Rattus norvegicus: one gene and its partner. The protein of the gene in region 1 interacts with the protein of each later gene in a biochemical or structural test. Links are inferred from orthologs where the notes say so. Each region holds a gene or a part of one and is shown in the gene's direction. Other genes may lie near its edges.

Region 1 (4,619 bases):
CAGGCCAGAGCCTGTGGCAGCATCAGTTAGAATCTGCAGAGAAGGCTGGGGGCAGGGAGCAACAATGTATCTACAGCTTAAGTGCCTTTCAGGAGCAGCCACTAGGGTGTGGGTACCCAAGAGGCTAAGGCTAGGATGCTGCTGAGAGGCGGGTCCTAGTGCTTGGGTGGAGGTGGAAAGCCCCAGTTAAGGGCTCTGGAGAGAGGGGAGGGAGAGGAGAACATTGAGCTAGGGGCGCATCTCCTATCCACATGGGGAACTGTCTGAGCTGGCTTTACCTGACTCAGGGGGACCAGGTAAGTGAGGAGCTGTGCACTGGGGAGAAGCAGGCTGCGGGTGAGATCTCAGCCTGGGAGGAAGCTTTAAGGTGAAAGTGCAGTCTCACAGTACTGGACTCTAGTAGAGGATTTTCTCCAGGCCTCAGTGTCCTGGTCTGTAAAATGGTCGGTTTTCTCTAGGGTTGTTCTTGGAAAACCATGTACGAATGCATAAGGGGTTCTCAGTGGGACTGTTGTCCTGTAAGGGGAGATGAGAACTTAAGCAATTGTAAATCTAAGAATGTGTTGACTACAGACCTAGGAACCGGGAATGGGAACCCTGTGGTGCTTAATTTGGGACAACAGATCACCACCTAGAGCTCAGGGGCCAAAGTCCTTAGCACAGTTCATACTGGGTCTAGAGGAAGGCAGCACATACCTCCCATCTCTGCCAGATAAACTCATGTTCCCAAAAAACAGGGGAATACGGAAGACAGACACTTGCTGGGTGGAACAGGGGCCACCTACTTGCTGGCCCCAAAGACCTTGGTTGCTGTAGTCTCTTTAAATTTCTTATTCTTGCCTGTTGCTCTCTGGGTCAGGATGAGACAACTTTGGGGACCTAGAGGGAGCAGGCAGCACAGTCCCGATAGGTAGAGGGTGGGGTGCATCCCAGGAAGGGGCGCAGTGGTCCTTGCACTTCCCCTCTGGCGTCTGTGTAGTGTGTCTCTGACTGGACCCTTTCTCTAAGAGGCTTCCCATTTCAGGAACCCCTCTCACTGTAGCATATGCAGGTGTCTAAAAAAAAAGTGGTTCCTGGAACAGAAGCCAAAGGTGCTGGCGCTAGGGAAGGTGACCAAATGGGATAAGATAGGACTCCCAGGAACTCGAGGGTTGCCTGACCGCGAAATCCCACTCCTTAGTCCTAGGGTTTCTGGGCGCCCAGGCAGGGGCCTAGCTAGCGGGGCTTAGGCTAGGGCGGGGGCAGCCAGGAGGGCGGGGAAGGGGCGGGCGCGGGGGCGGTGCTGCAGCAGGAGCAGGGGCCAGGGCCAGAGCCGAAGTCGGAGCCCGAGGCGACGCGAGCTGAGCAGGAGCCACCGAGGCCGCTGCCTGCTCTCCCGCCCGCGCCTCTGCCGCCTCCGCGCTCCAGCCTGCGGGTGGTGTGAGCCGTGGCCAGTCGCGGGCAGCCAGGGGGCAGCGGGTGCCATGGCCGCGCCGGAGTCGCTGCGGCCCCGCTTGTGTCGCCTGGTGCGGGGCGAGCAAGGGTACGGCTTCCACCTGCATGGCGAGAAAGGCCGCCGTGGCCAGTTCATCCGGCGCGTGGAGCCAGGCTCCCCAGCCGAGGCGGCCGCGCTGCGCGCCGGGGACCGCCTGGTTGAGGTCAACGGCGTCAACGTAGAGGGCGAGACGCATCACCAGGTGGGTCCCTGCGCTGCGCCCCGCCCCCCGGTTCCCTCCTAGGGGCGCATCCCTACTGCGCTGGCCAAGATGCCTTCGACCACCCTTCGGCGTGCCCTATCGTGGGACCGGTCAAGGGTCCCATGGGGGCCTGCTGTTCGGGTACTGAGGTGTGGGACGTGGCCCGCCAGCTGGCCTCCTGGTGAGGAAGCTCAGTCCTGCACAAGCGGGGGAGGGAGGACATCCTGGTAGGGAGGGGCCGCACTGCGGCTACTCTGGCCAGGGCCCTGGCTGCTTCTGCTAGTTTTGGCCTCCGTGTGCCATGGAGGGGGAGGAGGTGGTGAAGGCACCTTGTGGCCTTGTGGTATAGATGCATTTCTGTTCGTGTGTGAGTTATGTGTGTGTGCTTGCGGGTCTCCCTGGGGTCATCCATATGAATACACTACCCAAGTGTTCCAGGAGTGGCTGAGAGCATACTTGTGTCAGTGCTGGAATGTGTGCTTAGGTTTGTGTAGACACATCAGGTATGTGTGCTGACTCTGTGCGTGTGTGTGTGTGTGTGTGTGTGTGTGTGTGTGCGCGCGCCTGTGCGAGCTCACGAGTGCCTGCCTGCCTGGTTATACTAGTGTACTTCTCATGGCTGGTGTGTCTGGGTCTGGTGGAGTCAGCTCTAGTGGCAGCCTATTCCTTGGGCTCAGAAAAAGCCTCCTCCTGGGAGCTGCCTGGCCCTGTAGAGGTCACTGTGCAACCCTTGCCTGCTGGCAGCTGGAAGGAGGAGGGCTGATGTGGCGGAGTCTCTCTGCAGATCCTACCTCTGGGATGTCCGTATTCCACCGAGGGGTAGACACAGTTAAAACCTTGATTAGGGTTCAGTCTCCCTTCACCTTTTTTATTCTGGAACCCTAGTACCACTAAGTCCAAGACCTACGTGAGTGGTCAGTCCTGAGGCTTGGAGGAAGCAGAGTGGCTCTTTGCTGGGCTAAAGTTGAACTTCTATCTTCCCGGCGACCTGCCTTGTGACCACTGGATTTGGTTGTGTGCTGAAGAGTTTGGGAGTGAAGCCCAGTGGTTGGCCCTAAAAGCAAGGGAGAGGCTGGCAGAGTTGGTATTACCTGCGTCTAGCCGTCGCTGGAATGCAGCTGTCTAGTCTAGTCTCTAAAGACTTTCACATAGAGCCACAGTAGAATCCTTCTACTGCTCAGGGAGATAGGAGGCAAAACCAAGACTCCCATTCTACTGATATGTAGAGATTGTGGGTGACTGGCTTAGCTCCTTAGTGCTGGGATCCTTCTGCTCTCTTGGTCATCTTGGACGATCACTGAGGGGCCAGGTAAAGATGGGCCTGGCTGGGTAGGACCTTCATATCTGTGGTGGTATGTACTCCATGGAGTCACGCTGGAGATCCTGCCTCTTCACTCCCAGGCTGTGGGGTGGGGTTGTTAATGCTTCCTGCCCTTCAGATGTCCACTGGGCACTTTTCCCTTTGAACACATACTAACATCCTGCGTGATCCACGGTGGCCCACACTTCACAGGCACCCATCCAACCCATCCAGACAGATACGCAGATCTGTTCTGCTTCGGTACCTGCTGGAGATGAGTTCTGCTTACCTGACGTGTGTGAGCACCTTAGAATTCCTAGGTCTTCACCTCTAAGCAGGTCCAGCAGGGATGGGTTTCTGGTCCTGGTTGGAGGCAAATTGAAGTTGGGGTCAACAAAGACATTGCTCTCTCCTACACCTGGACCAAAACCCCAGACTTTAAAATAGACACACACACACACGTACAGAAAGCACACACATATATGCACACATACACACAAAGCATACACATATGCACATGCACACACACACACACACACACACACACACACACACACACACTCACGCACACACACAGTTAAGCACGTACCCATGCACAGACCAGACTGAAATCCTGAAGCTCAACTAAACAGATTCTGACTCTCCCATCTGGCTGTTCCTAGCAGCTCCTCCGGAGCCCACCTGCCGAGAACACAAGGCCACAAGAGAACCCTGAAGTACTTGCAGCCTGGGCCCTAGCTCCAGGGAGACGAGGGAGGGAGCTGCTGGAAACTGGGGGTGGGGGGTGGAGCCCGCAGGCCTCTCAGTCCAGCTACCCACCCCTGGCAGGCCAACCCCTGCCCTCTGTCCATGAGCCTGGGCCTAGCCGGGAGTGGTGCCCTATCCATGTGTTGCCCAGGGTGTTGCCTGCTGACCGGGTCCTGCTTCACACCCATTCCAGGTGGTCCAGAGGATCAAGGCTGTGGAGGGACAGACCCAGCTGCTTGTGGTGGACAAGGAGACAGATGAGGAACTCTGCCGGCGGCAACTGACCTGCACTGAGGAGATGGCCCATCGAGGGCTTCCGCCAGCCCACAACCCCTGGGAGCCAAAGCCGGACTGGGCATGCTCAGGCAGTCTTGGCTCGGACACAGGCCAGAAGGTATGGTGGGCTTTTGTCTGTGGGAACAATGAGTCTTTCCCAGAACCACCATCGCTGACTGCCTCTTGATAACAATCTTCCCTTTGGTCACTCCTATAAGCCTCCGTTTCCTCTTAGGGCTCTTTCCCTACTGCAGTAGCCACTCTGTGCCATTGGTGACCACCTGAAGCAACTCTTTTGGCCTTTGTTCCCTCTGCTGGAGGTCCCAGTGGCTGAGGAGTTACTGTGGCTCTAAAGATCTGAATGTCTGTGTTAGGTATCTGTCATCCTGGGTTTTGTCCACGACTCTGTCTGAAGCATCCATGTCTAAGCCATCCGTGTGCTCTGAAGCCCTTGGGTGGATTAGATCCTACATCAGGGATTAGTGCTGTAGCCGCTCAGTGATGGGGGTGGGCGGGAGTGTGTGGGATCCAGAACACAGGGGCTTCCTAGGGAAAGGGAGTGGAGGGCCCACGTGCGGACGCTTCTTATGAGGACACAGGTACAGCTCAACTGGGTTCCA
Region 2 (4,681 bases), on another chromosome or scaffold:
GTAAACAAATGAGAATAGCTTCTTTCATTTGTACGCTGCCTTCAGAATGCCTTGAGGAGTTGAGAGGCTCAGGGCGACCTGACCAAGAGCAGGGATTCAGAACCTCATTGCGGACCGGGACTGAGGAAAGCGAGAGTGGGGCAAAGCTGGAGGTTAAGGAAGAGTGCGTACCCTGTTCCCACAAGCCCTCTCTCTTTACTGAGACAACGGCTCTCAGTATTCCTTCTAAATGCCACGTTGGTTAGTGTTCAGAAAAGAATGCTAAGACGTTTCGAAGTAGCTCAGATCAACAAAACTAAAAGCCAGCACACTGCTCAGTAGAAGCTGAAGGGAAGGTTTGACGGTTTGGAGCCTGCTAATGGGATCTGCAGTCCCAACACAGTCCCCTATCGCAGGGGATGGGGCAGACACAAGGCAAGTCACTAGACTGCTAACTTCCCAAACTGAATTTCAGGCTTTGAAGTAGAACCGGCAGATGATTAAACGCCTGGGCTAGAAAATGCAGGGCATTTTAAAGAGCACCAGGAACTAGGTAAGGCCTGTTGATTTTGACGTATGAGAAACCATGGAGGGCGAGGGTGCATGGATGGGAGCTCTGCGTTCCTGTGGAAATGCTTCCCTTTCTGCAACAGGATGTTTGAAACACATGCCACGGAATGCCATGCAATAAACGTCATTCAGCTCAAAACCATCAACACCTTGCTACTCTGTGTACCTGAGTTTTAACCAATTAATTAAACAATTAACTAATTTTCAGAAACAGATAAGTCGTTTGGGTTGGTCCTGAAGTCCTTAACTCAAGATATTCTTCCGCTGCCTCAGCCTCCTGAGGAGCTCAGACTTTACATCTATTATATATTTTTATATGCTTTTTATGTAAATACATATAATTCGGGTGTGTGTGTGTGTGTGTGTGTGTGTGTGTGTGTTTGCGTGCGCGCGCGCGTGTGCATGTGCTATCTACTCTCTATGTTTTGTTTGGAGCAGGGTCTCTAACTGCACTGGAAGTTGTGAATTAGGGTAAGCTGGAGGACCAGCGTCCTCAGGGATCCTTGCCTTCCATCCCAAGCTGGGAATGTGGGCCACCATGCCTGTTTTTTTGATAGTGGGAGGAATTTGGGCCACTGTGCTTATAAGGCAAGCAGTTTACCTACTGGGATATTCTCTGGGCTCCAAAACTCATTTATAACATGTCGGTACATGGCTGTGATCCCAGCACCTGGGAGGTAGATGTTGGGAGATCAGGGGATCCAGGTCATCCTTGGTTATTTACGGAGTTAAGAGGCTAACCTGGGATACATGAGACCCTGTCTCAATTCTTCTCTCTAAAAACAGCTTCTTTACATATCCAGTTAGACCTAGAACTCCCTAGGTGTCCCATCGATCTTGAACTTCATACCTTCCTGCCTAGCGTGCTGCTGCCTGGCTAATTCCTTTTAGCTGTATTTATTTTTGCTCTCTGACCTCTCATGTATGTCTGTCTGGCTAGGAAATCCCTAGCCATCAAAGATGGGCTAGAGTTGTTGTTTCTCCTGTCTCCACTTCCAAATTGATGGAATTAAATCTGTGGGCACCACACATGACTTGACTTCTAAACAAATGCTTATTTGCACCAAGACTCTGTACAGAGTATTGTTATACCTTTAAATAAACACAGGAGGAATGACCAAAGAAAGCTGACTTAGTTAATTTTATTTTTGTTTTTTTTTTTTTGGCAACCAGACACAACCTAGAGTCACCAGAAAATCGGGAACTTTAACTAAAGAGCTTCCCAGATGGGCTTGACCTATGGCCTTTGTGAGAGAGTGTCCCATTGGAGATGGTGTGAGGACATCTGGAGTCAGCACTACCAGTTCAACAGAACAGGGTTGTGGCTTCAGCTCCTGGCCTGACTTCTCTCCAGGAGAGACTGTTGCAGTGGAAGTGTAAGCCTGACAGAAACCCTTTCTTCCCCGAGCTACTTCTGGTCAGAGTATTTTCTCACATCAAAAGGACGGGTAAAACTGTCCCTACCACCGTGAATTCTAAAGGGCTCTTCTTTCCTTACCCAGTGCTGAAGTGAACCGAACGGGCAGAGAGGCAGGCAGTTAACACAGAAACCAAGGCTTGTGAGCAGGAGTCCAAAAGCCAGGACCGTATCTTCCTCAGTGCAGCCTGGCACCTCTCATGCTCACTTGACCATCCCTAAAGCAGTTCAAGGTCACATGCCAACTTGAGTACAAATCAGATTTCATCATCACTAACCTTATGCTCTCGGACGAGCTGGATCTCTTGAGTCTGAATTTACTCAGTAAAATAGCAAAACCATCTCGAAAAGTAAATTAAAAGTGGAGTAGGTCTACAGAACGGCACACGGAGGGGTCCTGTAATATCGGTTCCTCTCGCCACTGATCCTCTGCGAGCCTCTCAGGGCTCGGTGAAAGAAACAGGCCAGGCGGTGTATTATCTGATTTCCCTTACCCAATCTAAGAGGACAGCCAACTGCTTACACAGGTCCGCCATGCCAAGCAATGTAGGAAAGAAAGGTCAAGAAGCCGCCCGAAATGGCAGCATTCGTTCATCTCCCCAAACCCTAGCGTCCTAATATCAGGTGGCCTGACTGTCTTCACGGCTTTCAGGTCGGGAAAGGCAAACAGATAAACCTTGCTGTTGTTCCAGGTCAGACTCTTGGCCTGCAAGTGGGGGAATCTCCTACAGCACCCCATTTGGTCCTGATGAGGGCAGCATGCCAGGGGAGGGCAGGCAAAGCTAGGCGGCTTTCTCCAGATCTCCAGGAGCGCAGAGCCCAGGGGGCGTTTCCGAGCGCGGGGGCGGGCACAGCACGCACCGCCCCCGCCACCTTCAGGGTGGTGCTTAGGCGCTGATCTTAAACTCCTGCAAAGTTTGCAACGGGTCCCAAGCACGTGCAGCTTCCCCGCCCGGCTCCGTGTTCCCCGAGCAGCCGCCCGGCACCTGCGCGCGGTCTCCGCCTTTCCCCAGCCTCCTTTCTCCTGCGCTCTCACGCGACAAGCCGCTCCCGGGCTCTAGGAGGCGGCGGCGACAGCGCGTAGCGGGCGCCCCGAGGAACCCCGGGAGGCGGGGTCTGGGCGGGCTGGCGCTGGGTTCCCGGAAGCCGCTGCCTGCCTCCGAGGCTCCCGCCGAGCGGACCGGCGCGGCGGCCGGAGCTCCAACATCCTCACCCGCGCCTCCTGGAGCCGCCTCCCGGCCGCACGCACCGCGGGCGAGATGCTGCCGGTGCACACCGAGGTGAAACCCAACCCGCTGCAGGACGCCAACCTCTGCTCGCGCTTGTTCTTCTGGTGAGTGCCCTGCCTGGGCCCGTTCCGCCGTCCACGAGACGCCCCGCGCCGGCTCAGCCGCGTGTCCGTGGTCCGCGCTGGTCCCGGACGGTCAGAGGATGCTTTCCCTACACCGCCACACATCCCGGGCTCCTTGCCGCGCGTGCGCCGCGCCGCCTGCGGTCCCCGCCCGCACCCCACGCTCGCGCTGCTCCCCGCCGGGAGGGGCACGCGGGGACCGATGGCAGACACAGGTGGCGTCCACCCGAAAGCGTGGGGATCCGTGGGAGGTGCGAGGGTGCCCGGGAAGGGTGAACCCGGCATGCTCACCTTCGCTAGTTTTCCATCTCGGTTCAGGGCTTGCACAACTCCCTTGCCCAAACTGCACCTCTTTATTTTTCTTTAAGCAGCTGTTAACAGCTGGCTTTGTCTAATCGCAGCTGAAGCTAGAGTCCTGGACCAACACCAAACGCTAGTGTCCCCATCGCCTTCCGAAACACCTTACCAGACATCTTTCAGGTTCATCGATTGCGTGTGAGTGAGTGTGTGTGTGTGTGTGTGTGTAAGGAAGGAAGTTTAATAGCTTCCCGGACCCTGCCTCTCTTTTTGACCCCTCTGTGTGTGTCCTAGTATCTTACTATGGCTGTGGGTTAAAAGATCACTTTATTACGATGTCTTATTTAGTTATGATGGGACACTACCCTTGAGCAAGATCTGCATGACGTTTCCCTCTTGACTGAAGGAGGGTAGAGGAATATGCTTTTCCTTGTTAGATGGACTTTTTTTCCCTTCTGCCTTTGATGACCATATCACTCTTGGGGATGAGTTTCTGAAGCCTGTGGTGGTGGTGGGGGTCTTATCAAGATCCGTAGTCCTCAGAGACAGGATCCATGTTCTCGATGCCTAAAACCACTGAGTGGGTTCCCAGATCTGATCTGGCCCCAGCCCCGCCCCTCTCGTTGTAGGAAACAGGTGAAGAGGCTTAGATAAACGACATTCCTAAGTAGTTTTCCACCTAGTAACCTGGGCTGGCTAGGGCACGCTTGGCTAACTAGAATAGTTTTTATTTCTTGACCTCTGCCATGTTGTCTTTCTCACGTTCTAATGTTCCCCTTTTAAAATGAGAAAGCCTAGGGAGTTTCGGAGTCATTTACTGTTGTTCCAATTGCCGATACAGTGTGTGCAGGATCCTTTTGGACACTCGGTAAAGAGGAGCATAATAAGGGATGTGTGGGAAATTAATAATAATAATAATAATAATAATAATAATATAATAATACTCAAAGCAGGCGGACTGTCTCAGTCTCCTGGGCTTTTGGCAACACACAGAACTCCTGATGACTTTCCCGTGAGTGGACTTTCAAAATGTAGGTGAAGAGAACTGGGTGTGGGCAGAGCATACC

Evidence for each region.
Region 2: the proteins of Nherf2 (region 1) and Abcc4 form a complex in vitro, tested with the Homo sapiens proteins (2 studies listed by BioGRID and IntAct, with this or other methods). The link is inferred for Rattus norvegicus from reciprocal best matches to the Homo sapiens genes NHERF2 and ABCC4.

What each region holds. Positions count from the first base shown.
Region 1 is NC_086028.1:14,174,289-14,178,907, reverse strand, and holds the start of Nherf2 (Na(+)/H(+) exchange regulatory cofactor NHE-RF2), read left to right. Parts: upstream 1-1,388; 5' UTR 1,389-1,463; coding exon 1,464-1,676; intron 1,677-3,916; coding exon 3,917-4,117; intron 4,118-4,619.
Region 2 is NC_086033.1:102,179,909-102,184,589, reverse strand, and holds the start of Abcc4 (ATP-binding cassette subfamily C member 4), read left to right. Parts: upstream 1-1,677; 5' UTR 1,678-3,225; coding exon 3,226-3,299; intron 3,300-4,681. UniProt on the Homo sapiens protein: ATP-dependent transporter of the ATP-binding cassette (ABC) family that actively extrudes physiological compounds and xenobiotics from cells.